3 linked regions of the Oryzias latipes genome follow. The protein of the gene in region 2 purifies or fractionates together with the protein of the main gene of each other region. This does not show direct contact. Links are inferred from orthologs where the notes say so. Each region holds a gene or a part of one and is shown on either strand. Other genes may lie near its edges.

Region 1 (10,632 bases), on a different chromosome or scaffold from region 2:
TCAGGCGTGAAGGAACCCACCACTTTAAGAGACCACTCCGTCCCCCTCCAAACCCAGGAAACAATGTCATATCCTGTCGGCGGGTCACCTTTCGCATCAAAGTACACTGAGGAGTTACTCAGAGAGAACCGGACCTTCTTCAGTGACGGCAGAAGCTGACAGAGAGAGAAACAAAATTCAACTCATCAACAGAAGTGCTGTTTGTCAGCAGAAAACAATCAGTTTACCTTTTGTGGACTGACGCTTTTCCTGCTGCATTTTCCAGAGTCACAACCGAGCGTTAGATGTAAGGCATAAGCCATCGCATACACCGCCTTGTAGACATTAAAGGAAGAGGTGGTGTCATAATCATCCATGGAGTAATTCTTGCTCACAAGCGTGTACAAGTCTGTGCTCTGCAGACAGTCATTGGCACTGCTTTTGATGACATTAGAATCATCTTTGATGTGCTTTATTGATTTCTCAACCTCCTTTTTTTGAAAGTCAGGGAAACCAGAAATGGATGCATCTTGCACAGATACTCCCACCACTGTGCCGATGGTGTTGATACCAGGTATCCCTGATATAAGCGTAGATGGTGACCAGTCCTCCGTTCCGATCCACACCTTATCGGTGATGTTTCTCTCCAGAACAAACGGCAGGAAGTCATGGAAAATTGTCTTGCTGGAGAACACAACAATGGTGTTCACTTTGGTTTTCAGTATTTTCTCCACCATGTTCCTCATGGTTTGGACTTTCTCATCACTGGCTGCAGGGATGATTCCCTGATAAGCAATGCAGATGCCATGCTTTGGTGCTTGCTGCGACAGACTCTGCATGCCCTGCAGTCCGTAATCGTTGTCACTACCCAGGACAGTAATCCAGGTCCAGTTGAATTGGACCAGGAGTTGAATCATAGCTGTCACCTGGTTCTTGTCACTGGGAATGGTGCGGAAAAAAGATGGATAAAGGAACTTATTGCTTAGCATTTCATTTGATGCTTCATATGAGATCTGGAGTGAGGAGAAAGGAGAAAGTTTGTGTTTTCTGAACATCATACATAAAATGTTTTACAGTGATAAAGTTTGTTAGTTTGAGTCTTACCTCTGGTACAAGAAAAGAGCCCAATAAAGCAGCAGGAGTAAAAGTCTTGCTGCTGCTATCTGGACCGATTACACCCACAGCTATTTGAGCTTCAGTGGAATTAAAGACTGCCTGTCCTGCTTCAGAGACACGGGGGTTCTGATATTGTGGAACTAAAAGGTCCAAAGTGGCTAGGACACTAGCCGGGATTGAGCAGACATCATATATCTGATATCCAAGCTTGACGCCGGGCAGAAGATGCAGTGGACCACTGGCATTGTTGATTTCTTCCACGGCAAATCTCATGGCTTGCATTAAGTGAACTGCATGCTTGTTGGGTCGACCCCTGGAATACGGTTTTGTTTAAACACATTAGGTTATGAAAGGAAAGTTAAAACTAGAAGTTGGAAAGACTTACTGATCGCATGGCACCAGAGCGGGAAAACCGCTGTTTGGGTTTTTGGTATAGTGGAGGGGAAAGAGTCCGGCCAATGAGTAATCCCCCTGTAACTGCATTCCTTTACCTTGAGAGATATAATCAAGCTCCCCAGCAGCTAAGTGCAAAATCAGCCAACCGAGGAAAAAGAACATGTACTGAAACATCTTTCTGCTGTCAACTGAACTGCACAGAAGTGCCCCTGGGGGGGTTGCTCTTAAAGGAAGGCCTAATAAAGAAAAAAAGCATCTTTGCATCTATATGCAAAATTATGGCTCCCAGAAGCATATTTGCATGACAAATTTGTTTATGTATTTCCCCATTTAAATAAGTGGCACAAAATAAATCCTTAAGGGACAGGGACAAGATACCTTAATACTGGTGTTAACTCAAATGAGTTGTGGTTTTCAGATTCAAAGCAAATTGTGTTGTTTTGTTACTTAAATGTATTTTTTAAATGGCTGTTTTGGTTTCTATCTTTGAATATTTTGTTTCTCTACTTTATAGTTTTTTAGTTATACTTCATTTTTTCATTTTGTTTATATTGTGGTGTTCAGAAACAAGAAGCTTGAATTACAAAATTTTAAAAAGTTGAGCTACACAATGTAGCAAGTACTGGAAGATGCCAAACTTGTTTTTTGTTTACTAACTGCTTTCTAATAATTACTTAGTTCAATAAAAAGGACCTGAAGACAGTTTTGACATTGGGAAATGTCTAAAAATCAATCACGTTTTATGAAAATATGAAACTTTAAAAAAAATAAAAAAAATAAAAACAGTGGAGCCAACAACAAGTTTAACTACCTACCTTTTAAGAAAACAAATACTTCCTTTTCATGTTGTGAATTCAATAATTTAAAATTTTTAGTGCATTTTCTTAGAAAGGTTAATTACAAGTTTTGATGAAGTATTATAAAGACTTTTCCAACTAATACTGATGTTTTAATTGTTCAAAAATATAAATGTCAAAAGTTGGACGAATGTATGTTTAGTTGTGTTGTTTGGTTAGCTGTGTCTTCAAAATTTTTTTTTTATAAAAGGAGGATACAGATTAAAGGAATCACAGAATTTGTTAGAACAAAATAAAAACGTGTCTGCATTACTGTAATCTGATCAAAAATTTGGAATGTATAACAGCAGAGAGAAAAACCATTTCCAAACCTTTGTCAATTTAAAAAATAAATAGAAATAAAAAACTTTTCCGCTTTTAAATTAAATCACTCATGGATAACAGTGATTTTTCTGTTAATGTCTGAGCCCCATGAAAATTATATTATTTGCCTGGGTATTTGTCATTTAATTGTGATGATGTGATAATAATGAAATGCTTGATTGACAAATCTTCAGACAGATCATTATATTGATGATATCAATATATGGATTTTTGTTGATGTATTTTTGTTGTCATATTTGAAACAGCATAAGGGTGTAGGCTTCAACAAGCTTCAGCCTTGGCCTATCTCTCTTTCAAACATGTTTATTGTTCTGTCAAAAAGAGACTATTTTTAATTAACTGACTATAGTTATCAGCAAATGTATAAATGTATCTATTGTTATTTTTATATTATGGTTGAAATAAACTAAATTGGAATAATCTAGATATTTTTCTTATTTTCTTTTTACTGGTGTTCTTAAATCTTGTAGACTGGCTCCTCCTTGTGGTACTTAAGGCTCAAACAACAGGATGGGCTCTAATTGCTGCTGCTTCTCAGCTTATAGTATAAAAGTTATTTTTTATTGTTTAGCTTTGACCCTGCTAGCTTTGTTTTTTTAATCTCAGTGTTTTTTTTTCTCTCTTCATTTTGTTCTTTTTTGATGTTGAGCATGAAGCTGTTTGGTCTATGTCATGTCGTTTTGCTCTTCACAGGCTTTGTAATCATATTTGATAATGCTGACATTTTAATTAAAAGCAGCAATATTTTGCTTGCTTTGAATCATGTATGAAATTGTTTGTTTTTAAGGTAGCCTTAAGTGGAGCTATCACTCCCTTTAAGCATCTTCAAATGTCTCTGTGTTTCTAAAGTTGTTGTCATTTCAGCCTTGTATTTATCAGCTACTTTTCTTTTTTCTTAGAATTTTATAAATCCTTTGTCAATTTGTTCGAAAGTTTGTTTCATGATTATCTGCTCCTTTTTGCAACATTTATTTTTTATCTAAATTAGGTTGTTGTCAACAACAAACTTTACTTATAAAATGCACCTTAATATATAAATGCATTATTACATGTCCTGTGTGTGAAAGGGCACAAAAATTGATTGATTGCTCACACACTAAAATGTTTTATGAAATCTGTCTGTGTACGAGAGATTGAATTTGAATTTTGGTTGACATCTGAGCCTCAATTTGCTAAGCACACCTAAGACCGGCAATCTATTTGCCTGGTGCTCACCTGCATCCAGATCCCAAACCCATGATTTTGACTGGAATAGTGTGCATTTTTTCAGCCACAGTATCACTGAGGCAAATTCGCATGGAAATCAACTTGTTCTTTGGATTCCAGTAAGAATATTTTGCATTTGGTTGAAAACATGCACATTATTTTGTTAATTGTTGTGTTTGTCCAGGAATTTTGCATAAGACACTCATACTGAGGTAACTAGCTTTCTAACAGTCTGTTAATAACCCAGCACAGATATCTGGCAGAATTTGGCATCAACAAAAGCTTGAATAAATCCACAAATTAAGTCTCATGTATTTTTCAACAAAATGTCCCTATAGCCAACATTAAGTGTGTTGTGATGCGGCCTTTTTAATGTTTCTCACCCTTTAATAATCTTGATACAATTTTTATGTGGATTGTTGATCATCAAAGCAATGTTATGGTCAGAGTTCAGGTTTCATTATAGTTAGTACATTGTACTGTCTGCTACTGAGATAATATTATGGAAATAATGACTACTGTAATTATGGACAGGGTGCTAAAGCCTTACAAATGCATCAGATTCCGTAATTTATGCAAAATGTTTCTTTCTCATCTCTAGCCATAAATATTCCCTATGTTTAAAACCATCAACTGTTTTATGGTTTATGCTTTTATTGTCCTAGTGTCTTAATTTTTTATTGTTCTATTTTTTAATGTGTCTGTTAGTTGTAAACGGACTGTGCCTGCCTTTTGGCAGGACTCCCTTCTAAAAGAGATTTTTATTCTCATAGGGTTAAATAAAGGTGAGTAACAACTACAACAACACTAATAATAATAATAATAATAATAATAATAATAATAATAATAATAATAATAATAATAATAGAGCAAAACATGCCAGGGTAATTAGCAATAGTTTACCTTAAAAACATTTTACAAGCAAATGCATCATATGAACTAATCGCTTAGGGGTTTTATTTTTGTAGATAATAGAAAGGTATATATCTACGAGAAAGAGCCGTTCTTTTTACGTCATCACTGTGCGACGCACATGTCGGTTTGAAAGTGCAAGCTGCCATTTTTTCGATGAGCATTTTTTTTTAATTAGTTCAGGCTTCCAAAGCTAAAGTGCAATTTTTCACTTCATATTAACGTGAAATTTTCTTTTAAATACAGCAGCGAGAAGTGAATTTGTTTAACTGGGAGGTATTTAAAAGCCTAGATTATTTTCGATTTGGGTCTCCGCGCGGAGGCTGCTTAGCTTGTTCTGCTAACGTTAGCAAGCACTGTAAACAAACAAGAATAGGCTCCCTGGAGATCTACTCAGAAGTTTCGTTACGGAGGTTGTTTACAGGAGGAAGTTTCATGCTGCATATGTCTAAATCAATCAAGACAACTTCAGTTTGATGAGCGTGCGACTTTCTTCGGAGCAGTGCGGAGCTCCGTAGCTTTTTATTTGAGAGGGTCGAGGCCAGTTGTAGAGCGAGCAGGGACACTCGTCGGCATACCATGTCGTCCTTCTCCGAGTCGGCATTGGAGAAGAAACTGTCGGAGCTGAGCAGCTCGCAGCAGAGCGTCCAGACGCTGTCCCTGTGGATCATCCACCACCGCAAACACTCGGGTCTCATCGTCAAAGTGTGGCACCGAGAACTGAAGAAAGGTAAGAGCTAACCCCTGCAGCCAGCCATGTGTCTAAAGTTGTATTAGGAACTTTTATTTTGAAAAGAATAAACAAAACATAAGGATCATCGTGAAAGAAACCAACTCACTCGTTTTTTTTTACGTAGAGGGTAAAGCAAAAACAACTTATGAACAAAAATTCTAATTAGCATGAAAATAATATGCATTTGTTATTCATTTTGAATTGTAATAACCAAGTAATATGTTGTGTTAATATCCGACATGAAACATTAGGTCTTAGTTCCTTTGAAACATCAATAATAATAATTATAATAAGTATTTTAATTTCAGCCAGTGGTTCCTGGCGTTCCAAACAGGAAGTACCCTCTGGCTCCAAGAAGCCAAGATAATATAGACTTCTGTACAGAAATAAACAGCTATTACTCAGTCATTATATTTGTCAAAGTAATCATCCTTGCTCTGTTACCTTTTTTTTTTTTTTAAACATGGTCATGGTCTTTTTTCTTCCTGTAGTGAAAGTTATTCAAGTTATAAACTGGCCAATCAGATGCCTCAACAAAAGCATGTGGTGCCCTGCCTGCTTGCCCCCACCTCAAAAGTTTGAAATGTTTCATTGACTAGCCTGCTTTCAGCGGAAAGGGTGTGGTCTTCCAACAAGCTCACTCCTGATTGGTGACAATAGTTGACATAATAACGTTGATAGAGACAGATTCAGACCAATCACTGCTCGCTAACCTTGTCTGGCTCCGAATGGTGGCGTCTGTGTCATGGAAAAATGGGAACTGAATTGACTTCAATTAATTGACGTCACACTTGCTCGGTCCAGTTCTCTTACACAGTGGGTGGTGCCGCTCCTTTGGGATGCATCTACAGACTACTGGATCCATGTGCGATTAGGTTTTAGTCGTCCGAGCTGGCATGTGGCTTAAAACTGTACGTCTGGATAGCTGGGGGTGTGACGGGTAGTTAGCTAGTTGGAGAGCATATGAACAGAGAACTCTCAGCAATGGTAGGGAAGGGGGGGTGTTCCTTCGCGTCACAACTCAGAGGTGAATATCTACTGGCACTGCAGAAACTATGTCCTAGAAAATGACACGGGTATTTGGATTTTGGCTTAACAACGACATCATCATAAACAAAAGACCACTGGGAACCTTTTAAGAATGGATCAAAAGATGATCGGATGGTTTTATTTCTCTACTTTTTTGTTCAATGTGACCAAACCAGACCTATCAGGCTCTACTGTCTAGCAACTGACTGACTGATCAGTAATGCAGCATCAACGATAACTGGAAAAAGTGAAATATACTTGTGTAAAAATGCTTTTTCTCTTTTTTCCAGCTAAAAGCAACCGGAAGCTGACTTTTCTTTATCTGGCAAATGATGTTATCCAAAACAGCAAGAAGAAAGGACCAGAATTTACCAAAGACTTTGAGTCTGTACTCGTGGATGCATGCTCCCATGTTGCCAGGTCTGTTTCCCAGTTACAAAAACGTCACAAAAATAGACTTAGACCCATTTGTTTGTGTGTTCGCTGCTCCTGTTACTGATTTGTTGACTCTCCACAGAGAAGCAGATGAAAACTGCAAAAGGCCCATGGAAAGACTTCTAAACATCTGGAAGGAGAGGAGCCTTTACAGAAGTGATTTCATTCAGCAGCTCAAGCTTGCCATAGAGGACTCGAACAGCCCCAGGCCCTCAGGTTAGGCAACCATTACAAGCAATGACTTTTATACATGTAATAAAATGAATGAGATCTTTAGAGACACCAAAATATTCTGATTTAAAGACCCACCCCACACAAAAAAGAAGCATTTTTGGTGTTTTTTACATATTTTGCATTTTTCTCATAAAAGAGGACGCATATATTCTGAAAATTAGCATTAAAACTGCTTTTTTGAGTATTCCTTTATTCAAATCGTGAATCAGGTGCAGACGGAAAAACGCAGTTTGAAAAAGCCCGAAGCAGTGAGGCAGCTGCAAGTTCTGCCCTGCTCTGTTCCAGTCTGATGTATCCACTTACAGACAAATAGATCCATGTACGTCTTTGTTTTCCTCGTCTGAGCTGGGATCGTGATCAAAACTGTACGGCTGGATTGTTCCTATATTGACCGCCATTAATGCTAATGCTAGGATGTGATTGTGAGGGGCTGTGAGCTAGCGTCAAAGATTGTAAACAAAGGGATGATGGGAAATGAGCGCAGGCTTACCCTGCTCCAACATTCCCGCCCACAACTCGGAGGCAAATTTCTGATGAACTCCTGCTGATCTGCAGAAGCTATGTCCTACAAAACGACAAGTTTTTTTTCCATTTTCGCTAAAAACGGCATAAATCATAATTAAAAGACCTCTGGGAACGCTTTTAAAAACAGATCAAAAGATGACTGTAATGGGACTTTAAGATGAAAACAAATTACAGGAGAAAACTGTTGTTTTTTAATGAAAAACTGATAAAAAAAACAGTTTGGTTTATGCATTTATTACTTTCATTTTAATCATGATTTGTTGCAATCATGTACTTTTTAAAAATGGCACACATTTAAGATGATTTATGACATGCAATTAAAAGTGCAACAACCTAAAATTGTTCTCCAACAAGAATTTAGTTTGAGGTGCATTTTATATTTACGTGTTACAAAGGTGCCTGTTTTTCTTTTTTAAAATAATGATATAAATGTCTTAGTTTCATGTAAAATTAAATGAACAATTTAAATCGATTTTTTTTGAGCCAGTCTTATCTTGCTGACCTAAGATTTCCTATTTGCTGTGGTCTGATGAAACAGAGGATAAGAGAGCAGTGAAACGAAGCTATCAGAAGATCCAGGAAGACGATGAAGACGATGATGACGACTATAGAAGTCACAACTCTCCGCGAAGCACAGAGGCATCTGCCACTCAGCTGGTAAGAATGACCTTTCCTCCTACATACATGCACAGTTTAATCAAAAATAAACCTACGTTACAAATTTGATTTTGACTTCAATTTTGGAAGTAATATGAGAAAACGATCATGTAGTCACATGCCCCTGTTCGGGGTTGGCCTGCATGAGTGCTCCAGGTTTTGGGGTTGTCCGGATCATAGAGGCTTGTGGAGAAGAGCTGCTGCATCTAAAGTGGAGCGCAGGTGTGTCTTGCAGTGCTTACTGCTCGTATAGCCGTTTCGACAGACATCATGAAATTGGAATGTACCGTTGTCAGTAAGTGTACTGGAAGTATTTGTAAGGGTTATGCAAGTGTGGCGTAAGGGCACCGTACGACAGTCTAGTCTTAGTAAGTACCTTGCAACAAGGGCCCAGTACAGTGTCTACGTTATATGCCCGTAGGACGCCCACACAAACTACGCTCTGATCGTCTGATTTCCTAATTTGTGACAGTCAGTCTATACACTTATCACTTTAACATCACTTATGGGCCCCTTGCAGCAGGATTTGTGGGAGGGGGTTGAAAAAAATAAGGAAAAATCCAAAGAACACGCCCGTCTCACTTACTTTGTGCTCACTCTGACCTGCAGCATGCTCGTATAAAAAGAACATTTTGGCTCTAAGAGGTCACCAAGCAGTCTACCATCTTAAAATTTTTAAAATTGACCCATTTTTCACCTGTAGAGAGCCTGTATCCACCTGTAAGGGCAGTTTTGAATAAGGCTAAAGTCATGTCGGGTGATTGGAAGTTGAAGGATGGTGGATGTAATGTTTTCAACAAACAACCTTAAACTGAAAAATATGTTTGCTTCCAAAAATCTCAGAGCTGTTGTTTAATGATTGGAAAACCTGGTTAAAATATCAAACTGATGTAAACACATTTTAAACATCTACAGAAATAATACACTAAAGCATGTTTTGTGTCTAAAAAATAGAAAAACAAAAGGTTATCAAGTAGCAATTTGAAAGTAATTTATATATAAACACAAGCCATGGCTTTAATTTTATCTTTGTTGTTCCATGTATATTTTATGAGTTCTTAAATTTGCAGTAGATTGTTCTCCTGTGTTTCTAAACCTTTAGGTTCCTAATGTGCATCATCTCTCTGTAAGTGTTACTATTATGGAAGCCTCATTTCTTGTAATAGAAAAGGGATAAACAAAAGAACTAATCTTTTTGCCTTTTCCCTCATAACCCCTTAAAAATGTTATGTTTATCATGAAAAGGTAATCGGTTTCTTCTTCTCACCGGTCTCACCTTTTCAGACAGAGGAGCTGGTAAAGGCCTTACAGGACTTGGAGAACGCTGCTTCAGGTGATGCAGCCGTGCGTCAGAAGATCGCCTCGCTGCCACAGGAGGTTCAAGACGTTTCTCTGCTGGAAAAGATTACAGGTACGTATAGAGCTGTGACGGTGTGGGATTTTTGATCACCGCGGAGATGAAATCTTTTATGCCCGTGTTTGTGTGTATTTAATTTAACATTATCTGTAAACATTACAAGTACTGAAACATGGCAAGCAGTTAATTTAAAATCCGACACACACAAAAAATCCCCCATGATGTTTAATGGACTGTCCCTCCCTTGCACAGCAGGATGCAGGCTTTTTCCCCCACAAGCATATTAAGTTTGAACTTAGGACTTGTAGAAAAAGTAAATTATTAGCAAAGATAAATGTGTTTATCATAGTTCAAATCACACACCAAACGCAATCCTGTAACTTTCAAAAAGAAAAAAACAAACATGCGGTGATGAGTCATCACCACACGGTGATGCGGTTATCGTCGGACCCCTAGGAAGGTGTTTTTTGCCAGTCGACATCCGTTTAGAAACAGACCAGAGCGTCTTTCAGTTTAGTTCAATTTATTTGTACATTTCAGTCCAGGTCATATAAGTACCCTATTTTTTGGAGTATAAGCCGCAGGAGCCAAAAACAAAATTCATAATATAGCAGGAAAAAAAAACCATATATAAGTCTCTCTGAAGTATAAGTCGCACTTTTAGGAGAAAAGTGCAACGCTGCTGATCAACTCTGCTAAGCCCAGCGAAATGGGATTCACACATCCCAAAGACATCCATGATTGTATTGGAAGGCCCTTCTTCTGCATTACTATCAGTAGCAAATACTGATGGTCACACCTACAGTCCCCTCCAGTGGTTGTAACTGGGAAACAGCCTCTAAAAGGCAACAGGTTTTTTGGTGGGAAAATAA
Region 2 (10,632 bases):
TCTAAATTAAATTATTATTTACATTATCAAACACATATTTTACATTAGAATGAAAGCTTCCATGATACATCACTGATGATCATATAATCAGAATACGACCAAAACATTCAAAGGTTTAGAAATGCCTGAATGTTCTTAAAGCTAATTAATGTTTGCTAAAAATCCCTCATAAAATATTTATTTAGGCATCAACCTTCTGCATTCTAGAAAGAAACATTTAAGAGTGTGTTTTTTTTATTTTTTGGTTCATGTTATGTGAAAGATCTTCTTATGTTGAACCACTTCCTGTTTTTGAGTCAAAAATGTCTTCCTTTATCATATATCTCGTCTACTCATACAATCATCTAATTCACTTCCTCTTGACCTTAGTTTGAATTCATTCTTCTTTTTTTTAAATGAAATAAGTGGCAGCCAAGTGTGACCACTTGCTTAATTAAAAAAGTAACTGAAAGATCAAAAGTTAATCTTTATTTTGTGCTTACAAACTCTTTAAATGTGGTGTATTTGTGTTCTTCCTCTTTTTTGAGCAGGTGTTTCTGGTAACCATTCTGCAGCAGGCTCTGCTCAAATGTAAGTGAATTAATTTCTCGGTTTTTATTTCATTTTTATGGCATCAAAGATTTTGAATCACTAGAATAAATGTTTAAGTATAAGATAAACATTGATCCATATTCCTTAGTATCACATGATTTATTTATAAATGAACATTAAACAGCTAACTTGTGTTTGATCATTAATAGTTGATGCTAAAGCAGAAAATAACATCAGATGAACTGATCAGAGGGGAGAACTTGACGTCCTCGGTCTGGTCATGTTTGTAGGCAGGTCTTTGACAACATCTCCCTAAAGAAAAGCCCCAAAGTGAAAGCCAACCATCCATGGATGAACTTTGTTCACCCCGGACCCTGGACGCAGCTGCCCCCAGCTCCAGCTCCTGTCCCTCTGCCTCGATCCAAACCCGTCTCAGATCCGCCCAGGTCATGGAATGAACCAAAGAAAAAGACGCTCAACCCTTTTGAAGAAGAAGACGAAGAGGTGGAGGACACTTCAGAAACTGGTAGGACTGAATCTCCCAGTCAGACCAAAACAGTTGTTCTTACAGCTGGAGACGAAGAACCTGCTTTTGTCACCGAGCAGAACGATGATTCCATTCCAGCAGATAGAGCTCATTCCACGGGGCCTGTGACGGCCGATGACACCCACAGGGAGTCACATGGACAGGCTGGAGTTATAAAGCATGCAGAAGTGTCAGATGGGACAAAAGCAGGACCAGGCCCAGACTCCTCTTCACCACCAAAATGTATTTTACCCAGAAGTCTCACTGTGCCTGACGTCACATCTGAGCATGCTGAAACTGGAACATCAGAGGTGAGTGAATAAGATCTGTCCTGTCAAAAGAAATAGTTCCAAAAAAAAAAGAGAAAGGATTACATTTTTCATAACAATGAACATTTCTCTTTTAATGCCTCTATCTTGTTACGTTTGATACAAATTAGTTCAATAGTTTGCAGCACTTAAATCGCATGATAACTGCAAAGAGGATTTCTTCTCAGCACCGACCAATCAGAACTGCACTGAAGGGAACATTTGATACCAGGACGACGACCTTTCTGTTCAGAGCTATTTCGAGCAGAAAATGCTTTTTTTACGGTGAAAAATAGCATGTCTTACCTAGAACAGCTCTCACATTATAGCACAGTGGTGGGAGTATTATAACAAGGGATGTCTTTAAGTCAAGATTCTGTTTAATGTTTTTTTTTTAGCACATATAAAAGACACATACATGCCAATCGTGACACAGTATATAAAGAAAATAAAAACTAAAATTATGTGAAAGCGTAAAAAAACAAGCTGATGTGCAGGGAGGTGGAAGGAAGAAGCATAAAGCTTTTAAAAAGAACAACCCCTAGATAAACAAGGAATATAAAACAAGATATGCATTACTATCAAAACAAGCCAATAGAGCCGCAAATCAAAACAAAATTTTATTCTGCCCGTTTTATAAATCCATATGTTATATGCATTGATAACAATATCACAGTAAATATTTGGAAAAAAGTCTGTTTTTTTTGTTTGTTTTTTTGTAAGTTGATAAAGAAATGGAGTTATGTACCAGATCTAGATGTGTATTCCATGACTTGGGTCCATTGAATTGTAAGTTATAGATGCCAAAGAGAAGGTTTTTGAATCCTGCGAAGAATCTGTGAAAATTGCATTCATCATAAGACTGACATTTTGGTGTCTTTTTAATCTGACTTTTTTTTCTTCTGTTTTTAGCAATCCTGTAAAGAAAATCCTTTTGACAGAAAAGCTCACATGTCCAAGTCCCAGACTTTTTCATCCAGTCGGGGTCCAGCTCCAGGCCACGGCTTCCCCCTCATTAAGAGGAAGGTACATTTCTGCATCCCAATTCAGTCTCTCAATGCTGCATTTTCCAGCCATGTGGAAGATGACACACTGTTTAAAAAAAGGCAGAAATCTTACTTTAAAACTTCTTCAACATAATATTGGGCCATGTGACCTAAAAAAATGATGTGTATTATTTCTTTTATAAGGTGCGTTTGCTACAGCTGTTGCAGAAATAATGTGGAGTTTCTTTTTTACTTTTTCAGGTAAGAACAGACCAGGATCTGTGCATGAATGACCTGCAGAATCAGATGAAGGAGCTGGAGAAAAAACTGGAATATCTGGAACAACAAGGAGTTGAACAGGAGAGGATTCTCAGAGCACGCCGGAAAGGTGAACTTCAGTTTCACTGCTATCGTTCCAGATATTTTTTTTGTTTTTGGCTATTATCCGCTTATTCATAATTGCAAGAAATTCTATTTCAGTTGCTTCGCTTTTTACATTTCAGGTAAAGAGGAGGAAAAAATGCTTACAGAGTGGTTCTCCCTCACTCTTGAACGACTACTTATATCACACAAAAGCTCAGAACTGGTCTATTTGTAAGTGAACCAGCAAATTCTTTGAAATTGTGTTTACTAATTATTTTTGTGTAATCATTTCTTTTGTCTTTGTTCTTTGAGGATGAAGCAGCAGAATTTGGAGGACAGGCAGGCAGATGTGGAGTATGAGCTCAGATGTCTCCTCAACAAACCAGGTTAGCGTCTGCTTTTACCCAGACAGAAATAGAGGTGAGAATCCATAAGCGTCTCTACTGGGCTCAGAAAAATGAGAAAGGCTTTGACTTGATGTGTTTTAACAGAGAGTGAATGGAGTCAGGAGGATCGGGGTCGTGAGCAGCAGCTGATGGATGAGCTGGTCTCCATCATAGAGCAGAGAAATCAGATCATAAGCGGCTTGGATCAGGACCAACAGAGGTTGACGCAAATACTGCTTCCTTATACTCAGACACTAAAATGTAGAAGTTACAGAAAATACACCTTTTTCCTTTTTTCTCATTAGGGATAAAGACAAAGATATGCTTTTGGAAGAAAAAATGAAGAACCGAGGTGAGAGTGACACCAATCCCCTCTTGAAAGTGTCTTGCTGAGGATAATTTTGTTTCACTGCTGTTAATGACAAAATCTCTCTTCAGATTTTCCGAAGGAAGGAGAGAAAGGGCTCAAGAAGCCAAAAGGAAAGTTCAAACCTGCACAGGTGTTTAAAATCCTGAACAACAAACCCGAGAGCAGAAAGGACTCTGGGAGGAAAAAGGACTGAAGAGCTGCAGGAACATTCTGGTCAATTTTAGATTTAGTTTCTCATCTGTAGAAGAGAATCTAGATTATCCAAAAATGTAGGGACTGGTATGAGCTCTCGTCTGTTTGGCACATTCTGTTCAAATTGTTTACAAAGTCCAGCAAGAGAAAAACGGAGTACTTTGAAATAGAAACCAATTCCTACTGATGTTATTTTTTTACCACTTTTTTAAAACCCTGTTTTAAGAAAAATATTTTTCCAAACCTGCATCACTAGAAAATGCTTAAAGTTGTTGTCCTACAGATTTCTTCTGAGACAAAATCAGCCATGCAGATTCCTGCACTATCTTTTGCTATATTTACTTTTTAGTTTTTTTTAGTAATTTGGTTAAAGGGGTTCATCAGAAAATGTATAGAAAACTGTGAAAGAGAGCAATTTTACAAGTGACATTTTTTTAAAAGGTTGTGACAAGAATCTCCTGTCAAATGTTCACTTTTATTGTAAATTATTGCAACTTGTTGTTTACTAAATTAACAAAGAATCAATTGCATATTTCATAGTTGGGCTATATTTGAAAAAAAAAAGTTTATGTGTAACCAACAAACAGGATTAATTTTGTTGTTAAAAACGTGAACATTTCTTCCTTTTTGTGTTTAGAAATTCTTACCCATCCACTGCTATATTTATAAAATAGGTAATGAAGAATTGTTTTAAAAGAAATCTCTTTTGTATAGACACATTTTATTAAATAAGTGAAGAATCTAAATGGATCTGTTCTTTGACAAAGTGCCAGCTGTTTGAGCTTAACCCTAGCAAAAAGTTGACGCTTTTATTTTTTTAAGTTTGCTTGAATATAAGTATAAAGCAAGTACGCTGTACTAAAGACCATGTTCATGTAGTGTAGAGATGAAGTATACTAACAGAATATTTCTTGAGACTGGAAATTGGAAATTTTAAGTTTACAATATCTAGATTTTATCTTGACATTATATTTTAAAAAAATAAACGTCAAGTATACTGCCTCACATTTATAAGTATACTTGTAGTACACTTAAATAGACTACTTCTTGCAATGAGTATTCTTACATAAGACAGGAAAGCACTTGCAAAAACATTTTTATGTTGTTTATTGTGAATATCTTTTCATTTGATCACGTAGGAAAATATATTAGATGAAGAGTAAAAAAAACAGAATCCAGCCTTAGCTCTGAATGTTTTTTCGCATTCGGTTGACCCAATTCTGTTCTTTAACTTTGCACTAAGTGACATGCCATTGTTACTCGTTTTCTATAAATGCAGGGCAAAAAATTAAGAATTATTAGTATTCATTTTCTCTCAAGGGTACATTAAAATAAATGTTGAAAACTATCATTTTGGTGTCTTCTTTTTCTCTAAAGGTACAGCCTTGGTTTTCCATAGTTTGATGGATTTATATTTATTTCTAGTTGAAGTTTATTTTGTTTAGGATACTTGACTATAATAGAAAGTAAGCTTTTTATATACTATTTGTTTGCTTGTTTTTAAATTGAATTAGAAAAAGGTAGGACAAAAAAAGAAATTCTAGTTGAGAAGCCGGACATAATTTTTCAGCGTACACGCGCACCGGAAGTTTAGAGACCACAACGCTCAATGTGGTTTAGCCTCTAAATTAAATTTGCTGCTAATAAACTCTATTAGTATCTATATTGGAAAAAATATAAGTTAAAACATGTCTGATAACGAAGACAAGTAAGTTGTGATCTATGTTCATCAAATAATGTCATGGTATATGTTAATTTTAAATCTATTTTAGCGTGTAGCCTGTTAGCTAAGCTAGGTTACGACTTCACCGTTTTCGGTCTTTGATACAGTTTTTGTCAACATTTGCAGCTTTGATGATGGAGACTTTGAGGACGCCGATGAGGACGAAGGATTAGACGATCTGGAAAACGTGGAAGATGTATGTTCGTCTGCACTTTTTTCATTTAGTGGATCATATTTGGGGTTCATTATTCATGATTTCTATCTGGCAGTCTAATCAGATGCTTGTTTTCCTTGGATGATCATCAGGAGGACCAGGAGAACGTACAGATCCTCCCCGCAGGAGAGGGGCAGCAGGCTAACCAGAAAAGGATTACAACACCGCACATGACCAAATATGAGAGAGCGAGAGTGCTGGGAACACGAGCCCTCCAAATAGCGTGAGTTGTTTACTGTAAAATAAGCGCTTTACTCTTCTAAACCAATAAGTTAGGCTTCCAAACATTTGTGGCTTTGTTGTTCTTCTTATTTTATTTTGCTAATTTGTCGTGTGGAGCAGCTGATCAAACAGATGAGAGCTGAAGGCCCCTGGTGTTGGACAGATTGTAATGTTACCATAGGAGTTTTGAAGCTTTGGGCAGAGGAGGTTTATGTCACTACAAACCTTTTTGTATTGAGGCTTAACTTTATTTTATTAATATTTGTGCTTATTGAACTATGCTGCATGTACCCCATCTTTGCCCCAAAACAGCTAGGATAGGCTCCTTCAGACCCTGATCTACAATAGGCCGGTTTTAGAAAAATGATGGACTTGTGTCCATTCCTTTTTGGACCGGAGAAAACGGAGAAGGATAGTGGGATATTAGGGATGGGGGGGACAAGATAGAAAAGGACATATAGAAGTTGGAGAGTCACCAAAGAAACACACCATTGCAAACAAAAAGAGACAAAACGTTGCTAGAGGTTATTTATAACTTTCACAATTAGATGTTTATGTTTATCGCACACACTGAATATTATAAACATTCCTGTTGCCCTCAAAAACCTTCACTCTTGCATATTGTCATGTACACAACACAGATAGAGATCAGATAAATATGCACCTTCATTTGCATAAAAGCAGATACAATCTCATACAAAAGTCCTTTTCTGAGCCAAGGTGAGTGGGCATTGGTGCTTAGTTTTTTTGTCTGTGTTCTACTGTGGACAATGATGGTATGAAGCGTAATGAATAAAAAAAAGGGGGGGAGCACCTGGTCGTCCCACACCAAGCCCCCCAGAATGAGGTGAGGCAGTAGCGGCAGCCAGGACCACCACAGCCAGGAGGGAATCCACCACCCCAGTGACCCGATACCAGCCATCCATACCAGAGGAGGGACTGCCGAAATAGTCCCCAGCACCAAAGAGCAAGGAGTCACAGGAGCATGGAGAATGCACGCCCTGGCCCAGCTAGAGAAAAGCCCCCCAGCTGTGCTATGGGCCCATCACGAGGTCCCAACTGGTTGCTGCAGATCACGTGTTTCAGGGACAAACAAAAAAATCTTTGCATCTCATTTTGTCAAAATGACACTGAATTACATTTCTCAGTTTTGCAGCTTTGAAGGCAGGTTCTGGGTTTGAACCTGGTTGTTGACATCTCTGTGTTTTTGTGTTTGGGCCGTTTAAGGACACACTGGTTTGAAAAGTGTGTGTGTGAATGAACAGTCCATGAATCCTCTGCCCCGCCTGTTTTCTGGCTTTAAAATAATGACATTTTACTTCAATTTGGGATTTATTTTGAGGATTTTGTCGTTGTTCTGCCGACAGCATGTGCGCTCCTGTGATGGTCGAGTTGGAGGGAGAAACAGACCCCTTGCAGATCGCCATGAAGGAACTAAAGTACATCAGATTATTCCATTTCTGTCTAAATTCTTTCATCTTGTTTTGTTCCTGGTAACTCAATGTTTGCCGTTTGTTCTGAACAGGAGCAGAAAGATCCCCATCATCATCCGCAGGTACCTCCCCGACGGCAGCTACGAGGACTGGGGCTGTGATGAGCTCATCATTACCGACTAAACAAACCTGGACTTTCAGCTGAACTTCAGAGCTTCGATGATACCAAACAGAAGCAGCAAATGCAGTCATTTTAAAACCTGCTTTGCAAGCATGAGCCAGTAGGGGGAGACATAACTTTGTTTAAACACATTTTTTTAACAAACTGAACTTTTGTTGTAAGTATTCCAAGTGTTGATTTTGATCAGAGATCATCTGTTTTATTGTTATAAATAAAGTCTTTTTTTATGATAATTTCACGGTTTCTGACTGTTATTATTAAAGTTTTAATGTCAGCATGAGTCATAGTCAGGGAAAAAATGGTCAGTTTTGGTCATTTAAAAAAAGAACCAAATCAGTTGATTAAACTTCAAGAATCATGTGGTGTTTGATTGATGCAGCTTTGATGTCAGCGGGTCTTTATTTTCCTTGAGGCTACAGCCCTTGTGGATTTGGTGAAGCCGTCAGAAAACAGACGGAGGCTCTCTCTGAGTTTATCCACGGAACCATGTGAATGAAGCAGCTCAACAGGTCGGCATTGTTCAAAGGGAGTGTTTGCCCTGGCAGAGAGACGCGCGGCGCTGGAGGAAAAACCAGTGCTCAGGGGAGAAGGGCTTGTTCTTGAGTTTTCTGCCCGAAGAGAATCTATTTTCAGCCCAGCTCTGAGGCCCCGTTTGATGCCAAAAATTGCGACTTAGTTTTCATATGAGCCTCAAGAAAGTGACATTTTTGGTGTCTCAATTTTCACACTAGTACTAATGTACTAGTCTTTAAATTATTTAAACTTTTATTTAAGGTTCAGCAGGAAAAAAAATATTGACAACTGTAAAACATAGCAGTCAGGATTATGCTAGTTATAATTTTTGTCTAATAATGTTTTTCAGTACAAAAGCATAAACTAAATTGAAATTGGCTTATGTAACCCTTGTGCTATCTTAGATGACCCCACCCTTACTTTGACGTGTTATTCCTACCATGACAAAGGTGGATAAAGGTGGAAAGATTTCATGTAATCCATGGACACCAGTGAAGATCACAAATCATTGAAGAAAAAGGGTTCAGAGCACTGTTTAGTAGTGGGTCTAGATGACCCAACTCCCAATGTTAAAGTGCCTAGGATAGCACAAGGGATAAATAGCTTAACTCCTTGAGTTTATTTCCAAAAAAGGAAGAAAAAAACATTTTTTGCTTTCAAGTAGAAGAAATTAAGGTAAATATGGAGTAAAAGTGGTTAGATCCAAGTTTGTATCAAATATACGTTAAGGGGTTAAGTAGCATTCTTATTCTTTCATCCAAAAAAGAATTGAGACACGTTACTTTTAAAAAGCCTTTCATGTCCAACTGCTGTTATGATTATTGCTTTGGTATTGTAAGGAACGTAGTGATGCTACGATTCTCAGTTAAAAACCAAACCCTATGTTAAACCATTGAACTACGTTGTGGAAAAATGTATTGTTGCATCACTGCTGCAAACATTTACACATGTTTGCGTTGAAAGTGTGTTGTGCTAAGTTCAATATATTTAACAGTGTTTATTACATCACACCAAGGTTACTATGAACCAGCTGAAAGGTTTTCTTTTTACTATTTGCTTATTTAATTATAAAGTCGATTTTTTTAGTTTTTTGTTGTTGTTTTGCCATGCACTATTAGCATATTGAACTGAAAACAAAACTGTCACCCAAAAAGTGAGGTTTGAACCGAATTGTGGGGAAAGTGAATCGCTTTGCCTATGAATTTATCGGGTCATTTTCTCTGTTAAATATCTGCATACCTCAGGCCTCAATTTCCTTGAATACAGTTTTTCAGCACCTGAAATCTTCCAAAGATTTTCATTTTTTCAAACCTTGCATGAACGTCAGCGTTATACATTCTTTTTCTGAATAGTCGATATGTGTGAGCCCTAGACTATATTTAAAAAATGTCCTTATCTTTGGGTCTTATGATCAAGTTAACACAATTCAAATGTGCAGTGACACACAAAAAAAAACACAATTCTGTCGTTTATTTTTTAAAAGTATTTTGTGACAAAAAAAATCATCTTTCAATGAATTGTGAATTCAAAGTATTTAATCTGGGACTTGAAGTCCTGTCAAACAAGCCCAAACCATCGCCCCTCCTCTGTCGTGCCTAAATTCTAGTATGGAGCAATACATGGTTTCTGACATCCTAAGTTAACATTTTGTCTTGACTTTGTTTTCCTGTATAGTCATAAAAGGATGACTTTGTTTGTTTTTGCTGCTGAAGATCATTTTAGTTTATCTTTCGTGCATTTCTTACTCTCAAAAGAAGCTTAGTGGACCAGAATTTGGTCTGAACTGTGTTTATTTACCACAGTGGCACGGTGAGAGGGTGCAACAGGAAGAGTAGTGAGAGTTGCACACAGTAAGGGTCGCTTTGTGTGACAGTGAAGCTACAGAGCGGGCAGTTATGGGGTTAGACTCCCTCCCTGCCCTCATTCCCTTCTCCCTCACCTCCCCCATCAATGGTCCTCTTTGTTTTTTCCAAAGTATCACACAGCCGATTAAAGAGAGAGGGAATTAGGAGTCAGGCCTAATCTGCACCAAACACAGAGACACATACATGTATGCATAACGGCAGAAATCTGGAATATGCATCCAGGCTTCCATAGCAAGTCCTGAACCCCCACCCCGAGAAGGCTGGAGGCTCAAGTGAGGTCAAGGGAAACTGAATCTGCACCAGTTTGTCCCCATCATTGCTCCTCTCTCCCAGTTTACTAGAAATTATAATTATAATCTCTAAACTGTATTTTGCATGTTTACCTAGATCTCTGGGGTCATAAATAATAATATATTGCCTGTAAAGAAAGCTATAATAAAACATAATTTAGCTTTGCAGCTCTAGATGTTCCAATTCAATTTACTGCAGGAAAATCTGAACAGGCAAAAAAACAGAAGAACTTTATTTCAAGTGAGAGTCATCGTCACATGTTCAGGCTTTTGCTCCTGCTCTTATTTACAGACTCTGTGACTGAAATCCACTGTTCCTATTAAAATAAATGGCAGCTTAGATCAAAGAGAAAGAAAAAAAATGCTTTTTACACAAATAGATGCAAAAAAAATTATAAATAGGAAATGAAAAAGCTCAGAGCAACAAAAAGAAACATTTCAATTTAAAGTTACAGTCCAGTCTTAGCATGACAGAAAACAAAGCATTGTTATACTTTTACATAGCGAGCAGTTTAAATATGGCATAGAA
Region 3 (10,632 bases), on a different chromosome or scaffold from region 2:
GTTGGCAAAAAGACCAGCAAGAAACTGCTGTACGATCCTGCCAAACAGAAACACAGTTTAAACCCAACAAGAATACCGTATTTTCCGGACTATAAGTCGCCCTTTTTTTCATAGTTTGGCAAGGGGTGCGACTTATACTCCGCAGCGACTTATCTTAGAAATAAATTGAAATAAAAACATTGTTAACCCTCCTGTTATGTTCATTTGTGAGGAACAGAGATGATGTTCCTGGGTCAATTTGATGTATGAGGTATGTTAAGTGTTAAGAGGATGTTAAGTGACTCAGAGAATCAGCAAACTTTTTTTTACAGTAAGATCTTGAAGGCTAAGAACATAATATTCTATTTTCCAATTATTTCATAGATTCAAAAATGCAATAAAAATGACAACTGTTTCTACAAAAACAGGATGAAAACAGAGTATTAGTTGGCCAATGATGCTTCATGAAAGGAATAAATAAATAAGTATGAGAAATAATTACTGTGAAATTATGAGATAAACAGTCTGCTATGATTGTGTCATATGAGGTTGTGAAAGTTAAAATGCGACTTATAGTCCAGTGCGACTTATCTGTGTTTTTTTCTACTTTATAATGCATTTTTGGGCTGGTGCGACTTATACTCCGGTGCGACTTATAGTCCGGAAAATACGGTAGTTAGGGCTTCTCCATTAACCGACTGGCACCTGCAATGTTACGATTATGTATACTTCTTACTGAAACACCTCAGAATGTTGTTTTTCCTCAACAGTAATTTAAGATTCATCTACTGTGGTCCTTTGCTGTTATTGCATGTCACCTTTTGTGGTTTCGTTTATTTTTTTACTGCATTTTTGCATGTTATTCATTTTTTACTGTGCATTATGTTCTGCATCCTGATTGGCTGTAGACCCTGTCAATTAATCTCTTCCGTTCCTCATCTCCTGCACAAAATACCTTCAGTTTGCCAAATCTACATGAATCTTCGATCACTATCAGATCTTTGTTGGACTTATTTTTTTTATAAAGGTTTGAGAGTTTAAACAGAAGAGAAAAGTGTGAAAGTGTTCATGACTGTCTGACAAAAGAGTACAAAGTGTATAGTGAGGGGTTTTATAGCCTTAAACATCTGTAATCATCATAAAAACTATAGTTTTCACCTACTGCAGGTTATTAATTTAGCAGATAACTCCTGTAGTAAAGCAGGGACCACTATACTCTCAAACATCTTAAAGATCATCTAAACCAGGGAGCTGCAACTTTCAACACTTAAAGACCCATTCGGGTCGATTTCTTACCCACCACAACCCAGCAGGAACCGCAAAGCCTTATTTTCCCTTTAGAAGATCAATTCAAAAATTGTAGTAGTAGGTTGTGTGATTTCATCAATGTTAAATAAAACTATACAGTTTGTTTTACTATTTGTGGTACATCTCAGCCAGACATTCATAAATGTAACTAAAAGCAGATCAGAGCAAACCAAGTGAGCCTAACCGTTTTTTCGGAGCATGAGTCCCACTTAAAAAACTTGGAGAGAAAAAAGGAAATAGAAAATCTGCTTTATAATCTAGTGCGCCTTAAATATGAATTTTGGTTGTGCTTACTGACACACTATTACATGGTGCTCGAAAGTCTGACAAAATGTTTTAGTACGACTTTGGTAAACAATGAAAGACACACCGCTTGATGGATTGTTAGAACATTATGGGTACCATATTCAGGAGCCTAACAGAGTGATACGCACTGTCCTTCAATTGTTTGTAAATGTGTTGAATCAAGTTTGACTTTAAGACGATTTAGTTTAACATGTAGTTCAAAAAATACGTAACTTCTTAAAATTAAAAAGATTTTATTTTTCTTCAACCAGAAAGCCACAATGGAGAGGTAAAAGAGCCACATGTGGCTCCAGGGCCTCAGGTTGCAGAGCCCTGATCTAAACAGTCCTTTCTGGCATTTCCCGATGAAAAAAAACAACACTGTGGGGCCGGATCTCTTTTTGTTGCTGAGCAAGTAATGATTGATTCAATGATTTCTTAAAAAGTGCAATTTACAATCAAAAGTCTGAACAGGTTGCCTTATCTTGAGAAGCACACGGTCAGTGCTAGCTGATGAGGCTTCTGTCCAAAATAGACCAGCCGCTTATTTATAGTGTGCAGTACCAGACCACTTATGGAACGTAACACAGCATGTCTGGTGAGAGCATAACACGACTGACTTCAGCAGCCACAATCAACTTTAGAGCCCACATCAGAGCCGCTACAGGTGACTGTGGCTCGAAACACGGAGGAAGCAACACAACAATGGATGTTGTGTCAAAAGACTGAAAAGCAAAGTTAAACGAGTTTACCCCTCCACAGCAGGTGAGCGCTCTGGTCTGCTGCTGCCTCTGAACCGGTATCTCCTCTGGCTGTGAAGGCGAGGTGGGCGGCCTGGTCCGAAGTGTTCATTGGATCCTAACAGACCACCCATCTGCCCCCCGAGACCAGCTGGAACCGATCCCCCGATCGGTCCAGCCCCCAGTCCTCCGAAATCACTAAAACTCCCCAAACGACTGCTGGAGAGCCTTGGCTCGGAGTCAGGAGTGTCACTGTCTGTTGTAAACGGCCTCTCCAATAACAGGAGGTGCCACAGCTGTAGAGACGTTAGGATTAACAAACAGTTATGGAAAGGGACATGAAAAAAAAAAAAAAGACAGGGAGACAGAGAGATCAAAAAATGGGGGGAAAACTCAAAAATTAATCATAATTTAATATGATCAGAGTCAAACGTACCTCTGCAAACTGTGTGGCTGTGTCATCTATCCCATTTGCACCGCCGTCTAGAAGACTAATGAAAGCAACACAAACAGGGGAGGTACAACAATCTCAATAAACGCGTACTAAACTGATCAACTAAAAGGTCACGCTGGAAGAAGATTCAATAAACAGATAACTGACAGAGCAACAAACATGTATTCACTTTTAAGGTTCTGTTCCAGAAACAGAGGTCTCTTACCTGGAATCCTCTGTTACTTCCTCTATGAAACCTGAATCACATCTTGGACAGATGTATTCCTGCAAGAAAAAGAACAAGGACAGAGTCACGCTTATTTATAAAGGCTGAGGAAAAAAAGAGACAACTAAACATCGAACTATGGCCACATTTTTCATTTCAATTGGGTTTCAGCACATCAGAAAGAAAAAAAAGTAACATTTAGATGTAAAAACTTGGTTTTACATTTAGTATACATCCTATTGAAGATGCCAAACACAATACAAGTAAAAAAGATTCAAATGACAGTAGATATTTCAACACACCAATGTGTACGATGTTAACATCCTGGTTTAAGGGCTGTTGAAAGTACATTAGAAATACTATAAGCAAACATGTCCATCATTAAGACTTTCCAGTTAAATGTACTTTTAATTGTTTACATCTTAATATGTTGAAAAACAGACATTTTAAAAGCCTGTGCAACTGTTTTCATGAGCCAAACCATTTTTGGGCTTGTGTTTTATTAATGTAAAATACAACACATATCGTGATACTTCAAAGGATAATTGTTAAGAAAAATGTATGATGTTTTTTTTTTTTTGATTGGCTGATTAAAAGCATAAATAATGACTTTCATTTAGTGTTTCAACATATGAATGCAACCAAAGAGGTACGGCTGGTCTGCCAACCACACCTTAGGGGGAGGGCGTTCAAAACCAGCATGACAGCTTGGAGCAAACACAACCAGCAAGCAGCCTTTGCAGCAGGATGGATCATATGTTGTCCTCTCATTTAAAGATAGAGCTTTTCACTCAGGGGAACAGGATTGAGGTCACTTAGCATAAAAACAAAGTTGTAAGCCATTACGGCAACACCTGAAGTACAATACTTGTAGCATTAAAAAGTGGGTCACAACAATAATGTCTTTTTAGATTGTAGTTCACTCGATTTGGAGTGCTAAATATACAAATGAAATTCACAAATGTTCTTAAGGTTGAATTGAAAAAAAAAGTGACTATGAATTACAGAAATTATTTTGGTCAAAGCCTTTGAATTCAGATTTACTCACAAAACTCACACAATTACTTGTAATAAATAAATGTTATGTATTGTTTTGTTGATTTTTATAATTTACTTTATATTTCAGGTTTAAAAAATGTTTGATATTATCTTTGCAGTTGCTTGATCCAACACAGAAAAAGAAAATCACAAAGAGACAAGTGAGTAAATCCAGAATTAGTGACCAATTATCTGAAATTTAAAAATAATGGGGAGGCAATAGTCACAGCTCTGTTTCCAGTTTACTGGTCGATTAAACAAATAGACGTTTGGATGTTTATTTTTACTTTATGGCACAGTAAATCACAGAACCCTCCATCTCTGTATCAGTCTAACAGATTGCTTCTAAGAAGCTAACAGGTTGCACTTTTTAATTTAAACTTTCAGTCAAAATCTAGACACAACATAAAGCAGTGTTTCCTAAAATTCGGGTTATATAACAAAATTCATTTACTCAATACATCAGCCAGTTATAAGCTAAATTTATAAAACATGTAAGAGAACACATTCATGTTAGAAATTCAGATATTTCTGGTATTTATTTTAACCTGTCCAAATTTTTTCTTGTCCAAAATGAAATACTATAATCATTATCATCAACAAAATAACTTATATTTCAATGATTGAAAAATGTGTGTCAATTTTTATTTATTTACCAAGGAACATTTGTTTCAAAAACACAAAACGGAGTCAACAAGAGAAAAAAAACTACAAATAAAAAAACAAACACTTACAGTTAGTTAAATGTTTTTGTAAAAACGTAGGAATGTCCTTTTAAATAAATGGCCTTTTAAAGAATATTTGTAAAATAGTAATAGTAGGCCATTTAAACGCCTCTTCTGCCGACATTGTTACGTTTGACTTTAACACTAAAACTGAAAGTAAACCACAACGTATGACATCTACAGAAAACTTCCCCTGCTTATACTGCCACTGCTGTTAACAGAAACAAAAACTAAATGTGTATATATACTGAAAAGGAAAATCTGAGTGACAGTTTATGAATAAATAAACTCTCAGATTAATTCGGGCTGTTTTGTTCAAAAACATGCATCTATCATTTACCACCAAGCACACAACTTCTACCTTGAAGCACAGAGATTAGCGTAAGTATTTTAAAACAGGCACGAATAACAAGACCTACTATCGTTAGTTTTAAGAGTAGCTTAGTTTCCCCTAAAACGACTAACCGGAGTTTCTTTACTGACTTAACAACAACAAACACTGCTATATGCTAATAGCCTATGGGCTTAGCTGTAGCAAGAAGTAGCCGAAACAAACAGCTACCTGCCGGAAGGCAGACTTGTCAGCCGCGCATAACACTCAACATAAAATGAGCGAATAACCAAAAATAACGCGACTTACCGGGAGTTTGGGATTTACTTCTCCCTTACAACAGTGACAGAAAAACCGATGCGAGGGAACAGCCGCAGCCTCCGCCATCTTCCCGGAGCAGCACAAACACTGACGTCGGTCCTCCACTAGCTGAAGGGAGCTGTCCGCCCCCAGCCCGGCATGCACTGCGGCACTGTTGTCGAATCACAGCAAGCAAAAAACCGGGAGCGGAAGTGTCTGTTTGTTGTCATCGACTAGCCTCATGCGCTAAACTATCTGCACGGAGTCTGCTTTCATTGCGAGATCTGAAATCGAAAAAGGTTTGTGAAAAAAAAAAAATGCCAGGCTTATACCATCAAATATTCAGAGATAATTTAGTAAATTCCCAGCATGCAATTGTAATTTTACTATCCAAAAGCCCAAGGGGGAAAGAACTTGAACAACTGTTGACTTTTCAAATTAGAAGAGATAGTTTACATGCACTGTATGCTATAAGGGAAACTACTTAATGACCGATCTAACTTTTTATTTTTAGATTTTACCTGTTGGAATAAGTGGTGCCTGTTTTAACAAAGTAAAATACTATTATTGTTGTTTGTAGTTCGTAAACTAGATGTATAGAGATAACATAACTAAAAAAAGTGCTGTTTATTGAAAAACTAAACTGAACTAAAATAAAATTGATTTATTGTTTATATTGGTTCATGTTGAACGATCAAATCCGATCCGATTCACTGATCTAAAATCGATCCAGAACATCTTTAGCCAAGAATTCAACCAGTGGGACTCAGAAAATAAATACCTGGATTCTGAACAGTGCAGGGGAAGTTTTCCACATTCCCTGTATTTTTTTGCAACATAATTAAGTGTAAATTAAACATGTTTACAAACAAACAAGTAAAAAAGAATGAATGGACAGTTTTACCTACATTTTGCTGCCATTCGATGTGTTGTCTGTTTTAACGTTATAGTTAGAAAAAAAGCCTACTGTGCCTTAATCCAAATGGTATTTTCCAATATTGATAATAATTGATTTATTTCCTTTTAAAATTAATTCATATTGGTATAGTTTGATTCGATTAACATCTTGCCTCAGATGGATGAATCGATTCATCTTTACAGCCTACTAAAAGCACATGCATTAGTTCTTATTATTAACTTAGTGGTTTTCATTGAACTGTTGGTGTGTTTGTGCAGATGACAGCCCAGGAGGTCCGTCTGTGTGGTCTTCTGCTGCAGGAGCACTTTGGAGAAGTGGTGGAGAAAGTGGGAAGAAATCTGCTCAAAAGTGGAACGCAAAATTTAAGAGCCATTGTTCATGAAACTGGCTTGTCAGTGGATCTGGTAGGTCAACGCAAGACTGAGATTGCATTCGCTGTAGTCAGATGTTCTTTGAAAAATAATCAAAATTATTCATTATTTGAATTATTATTCAAAGCAAACGGTCACATATATTACTATGTCCCTTGCAATATGGCAAAAGTTAGTTCTTTAAAGATATTTGAACAATAAGAGAAACAAAATTATAATGTAATTATTCAGGTAATATATATTCATATTTGAAAACAGTTTTACCTGAAACTGATTGCTTATCAGTTTTTTGTCAATACAATACAGTGATGTCTGGTAATGTTCATGTACTTTAACAGGACTTCTTCTTCTTTCATCAAGGTAAAGAAGTCTCTGTGCGTTCTTGTGCAACATGGAGCCTGTTCGTTTATTCAAGGTCGAAAAGGACCGGGGAGCCCGACGGAATACAAAGCCCACTGCGATCGGGTACTGAGAATTCTGCGCTACCCACGTTACATATACACAGCCAAAACGCTGTACGGCGACACCGGTGAGCTTATCATAGAGGAGCTGCTGCAGAGGGGCCACATGACGATGAGCAACACAGTTAAGACAGTCGCAGACCGTCTAACTCAGAGTATGGACGGTGAGCATCAGAATCAAACAAAAGACTGTCCATAAAAGAGATGATCTGTTTTCTGAAGGTTTTTTTTTCAGTTAAGCTTTGGATTGAGGCCTAAAATATCGCGATCAGTAGATTCATTTTCTAATGAATACTTCCTTTGATGTTTTGTTGATACAGAGGGGTCGAGCATGGATTATGGTGAAGTGTCCGCCACCTTTTCCAAACTGGTAGAGACTCATTTTCTCCAGCGCTGTCCCCCAGCAGCAGGAGCAGGAACGACAGGGAGCAGTCAGACTGCCAATTCGACTTCTGCAGCTCCTGCCAGCAGCACTGCACCCACACCGGAAAGCTTCCCCGACTGCTACAGGGTTCCTCAAGTGACACTCATAGGCCGGAGCAAACGCTCGCTCGCCAGCGAGGAAGGAGAGGACCAAAGAAATGCGAAAAAAGCGAAAATGGACCCAGAGGTCAGAGAGACGTTTGTTAAAGCAAGATGTTCACTGCATATGCTAAGACTTCTATGGTTGTGACTTCTGTTTGTCTTCTCATAACTTGGATCTTTGGTGCTCAGACTCATGGGGATGAGGGGATTTACTGGCAGGTGAACTTTGAACGGTTCCACCAGCATTTCCGGGATCAGACTATCATCAGTGCTGTCGCCAACAAACTAGATCAGGTGGGAATTCCACAAAACATTTCAAACTAACCATTTTTTTTATTCATTAAAAGAAAAACAGGTTTTGAAAAATAATTGCCTAGAAAAAAAAACCCAAATACATTTCCTCAGTGTATAATTATTTGATGGTTAAAAGTAAAAATGAATAGTATTTGAAAACCCTCTTTGTATGGCTGAAGGAATTTAGCATAAGCATTTGGTTGTTTGATAAGACTATCTGACTTTGAAGTATTGACCTTAAAATCAAAGAAAATTCAAATTTTAAATGAAATAAAGTGATAGTTTTTGGAAGTACTCCTAATAATTCCTCTTTTTTCTTGGATTGTTCTCTGTGCTTTAAATACTACAGCTTTTTACATTTATTTCATTATTAATTATTTATTATTATTATTTATTATTAACTAGCTGTCTTCTCACATCTTTCCTACCCAGACCAGCAGTGAAATAGTGAGAACCATGCTGAGGATGAGTGAGGTGACAACCTCTTCCACTGCCCCGTGCACAAAACCCCTTTCAGCCAATGAGATCTTCAGGTCCCTCCCAGCTACTTACAACATCCCCCGCCATATATTGGACCAGTACCTCACTCTGCTGGTGGATGACCCTGTAGGTCCTCCTCATCTCAAATATCTCTCTGATTTTTGCTTGGCTCCCCACAAAATGCTCAAAAAGTTTCCCACTTTTCCTTCCTAAGATGGAGTTTGTGGGGAAGGCTGGGGAAAGTGGAGGAGGAATGTATATTGTCAGTATCCTTTCTGCTCACTTGAAGGTTCAAACCATCCCACAGGTGTGCGTGTCATTCGCTACTAAACCCAAAACAAAAGCTTTCCCTAACTTTTCTGTCAGATCTGAACCAAGCATTGGCTAACCTGGCACGGGCCACCCTGGAGTCCATCGTACAAGAGAGGTACACCAGTGTGTGTGTTTGCTCTCCACACATACGGTTGCTATTGGGCTCCCATTGTTAATAAGATACCTTTTATTCATCCTCAGATTTGGCTCCAGATCAGCGCGCATCTTCCGCCTGTTGCTACGGAAACGTCATCTGGAGCAGAAGCAAGTGGAGGATTTCGCCATGATTCCAGCAAAAGAGGCTAAAGACATGTTGTACACTCTGCTCTCACAGAACCTGGTCCAGCTTCAGGTACGTGGATGTAAAATGGGTTTAAAGAAGGAACTGGATGAAAAGTTTACGATTTGTTTTAATCATACACCTGGATCTATCCTAAGACTAATTTTTTAACCTGGTGGTGAATTTTAAACATCTGAGCTGAAGTTATTTAATCCAAAACAGCATTGTTCTGTTTACCAATGTATATAGATTTATTTAAAAATACATGTGTTGAGTTCTCAAAGTTTGAACCAAGCAGCCATAGTTCTAGTTTTTTCTTTTTTTAGTACAATTTTTATTATCTGTAATTATCTCTTTTTTAAATGTATCCTCCAGGAAATCCCCAAAACACCAGACTTTGCTCCCTCTCGGACCTTCTATCTTTATACCGTCAACCAGCTGCCTACTGCGAGATTGCTGCTACAGAACTGTTACAAGGTGAGTCTGAAAACAAACTGGGAGCTTTAGAAAGCTGGATGGAGAGCCACAGGTGTATTATTTCATGCCTGCTTTCCTCTCCAGACAGTGGCCAACCTTATGGAGCGGCGGCTGTTTGAGGCCAAAGAAAGCAAGTGGGTCTTTGAATCATATTTTTCCTTGAAGTTTTACAAGAATGCAGGTACTGCTATGCGCCAAATGTGAATTATGTTTGTTTTTTAGGCGCCTTCTGGAGAAATCGCAACGAATCGAAGCTATTTTGGCGTCTCTGCAGGCCAGCGGGGCCGAACCCGAACAGCTCACTGAAGTGGAAGAAATGATCACCGCTCCTGAAAAGCAACAACTGGATAGCTTAAGGCTTCATGTTAACAAGTAAGAGAAGACGACAGAAACAAAAAATGTATATTTGGCAAAGTTTTTTAAACAGGTTTTAAATTTTCCTTTTTTTTCTTTCCAGATTAGATTCAGCAGAGAATCAAGTGGATGAAACAATCTTTCTTCTGGAGTCCTACATAAGTTCCTCTACAAAACCTACAAGTTAAGTCAGATTTGGAAGAATGACTGACACCCCACATTTTACTTAAAAATTATTTGATTTTGTTTTTTTGTCACAACAGTTTTAGAGTTTACAGCAAATATGTTTCGGTTAGAAGTGGATTTAAATCTGATTGTTTTTATTCCTTGCAAATAATAAACACAACAGGAGGAACCCTTTCCAAATGTTTTTTATTTCCCATCATGAAACAAAAAGCTGTAGAACCGAGTGAACATTTGAAATATAAAACCATGAACAAGTCTGCAAGTTAAATAAAAGAACTGTGGCTTAATACATTTTCAAATTCCTTAAAATTAAACTAAGGTTATTTACAAACATTGGGGTAAAAAGTATTTATTAGTCACTGATTCTGCAAGTTAATGAGAAGCCTGTAATGTTTATCATAGATATGCTTCAACTGTGGGAGACGGAAAGTAAAAAAGAATCCAGAATTGTTTTTTTTTTTATAGAATGTACTTGAATAATGGTGCGTTTAATGTCAAATCCTACAGTGTGGTTTCCTGGATTCTTGTTCTGTTTCTTAAAGTTGAAATGAACTTACGATGAACATTACTGATCTCTCTCATCATTTTAAGTGGGACAACTTGCAGAA

What was found.
Region 1: the proteins of polr2f (region 2) and rprd1b purify together in Homo sapiens (affinity purification with mass spectrometry; 4 studies listed by BioGRID and IntAct, counting the BioPlex papers as one, with this or other methods). This does not show direct contact. The link is inferred for Oryzias latipes from reciprocal best matches to the Homo sapiens genes POLR2F and RPRD1B.
Region 3: the proteins of polr2f (region 2) and polr3c purify together in Homo sapiens (affinity purification with mass spectrometry; 3 studies listed by BioGRID and IntAct, with this or other methods). This does not show direct contact. The link is inferred for Oryzias latipes from reciprocal best matches to the Homo sapiens genes POLR2F and POLR3C.

Annotation. Positions count from the first base shown.
Region 1 is NC_019865.2:7,644,059-7,654,690, reverse strand, and holds the start of rprd1b (regulation of nuclear pre-mRNA domain-containing protein 1B), read left to right. Parts: upstream 1-4,894; 5' UTR 4,895-5,369; coding exon 5,370-5,520; intron 5,521-6,842; coding exon 6,843-6,972; intron 6,973-7,069; coding exon 7,070-7,203; intron 7,204-8,284; coding exon 8,285-8,403; intron 8,404-9,687; coding exon 9,688-9,814; intron 9,815-10,632. UniProt on the Homo sapiens protein: Interacts with phosphorylated C-terminal heptapeptide repeat domain (CTD) of the largest RNA polymerase II subunit POLR2A, and participates in dephosphorylation of the CTD by RPAP2. Transcriptional regulator which enhances expression of CCND1.
Region 2 is NC_019866.2:19,809,710-19,820,341, forward strand, and holds polr2f (DNA-directed RNA polymerases I, II, and III subunit RPABC2), read left to right. Parts: upstream 1-5,215; 5' UTR 5,216-5,350; coding exon 5,351-5,370; intron 5,371-5,511; coding exon 5,512-5,581; intron 5,582-5,691; coding exon 5,692-5,822; intron 5,823-7,188; coding exon 7,189-7,260; intron 7,261-7,346; coding exon 7,347-7,437; 3' UTR 7,438-7,668; downstream 7,669-10,632. Other genes in the region: MICAL-like protein 1, read left to right, coding at 528-570, 822-1,057, 1,157-1,368, 2,278-2,391, 2,613-2,739, 2,855-2,945, 3,027-3,100, 3,206-3,320 and 2 more. UniProt on the Homo sapiens protein: DNA-dependent RNA polymerase catalyzes the transcription of DNA into RNA using the four ribonucleoside triphosphates as substrates.
Region 3 is NC_019874.2:18,836,015-18,846,646, forward strand, and holds polr3c (DNA-directed RNA polymerase III subunit RPC3), read left to right. Parts: upstream 1-5,545; 5' UTR 5,546-5,664; intron 5,665-6,541; coding exon 6,542-6,688; intron 6,689-7,015; coding exon 7,016-7,280; intron 7,281-7,436; coding exon 7,437-7,726; intron 7,727-7,830; coding exon 7,831-7,935; intron 7,936-8,367; coding exon 8,368-8,541; intron 8,542-8,629; coding exon 8,630-8,681; intron 8,682-8,781; coding exon 8,782-8,842; intron 8,843-8,928; coding exon 8,929-9,079; intron 9,080-9,382; coding exon 9,383-9,484; intron 9,485-9,568; coding exon 9,569-9,618; intron 9,619-9,706; coding exon 9,707-9,856; intron 9,857-9,941; coding exon 9,942-10,026; 3' UTR 10,027-10,198; downstream 10,199-10,632. Other genes in the region: E3 ubiquitin-protein ligase RNF115, read right to left, coding at 1-37, 2,325-2,608, 2,749-2,803, 2,972-3,030, 5,375-5,452. UniProt on the Homo sapiens protein: DNA-dependent RNA polymerase catalyzes the transcription of DNA into RNA using the four ribonucleoside triphosphates as substrates.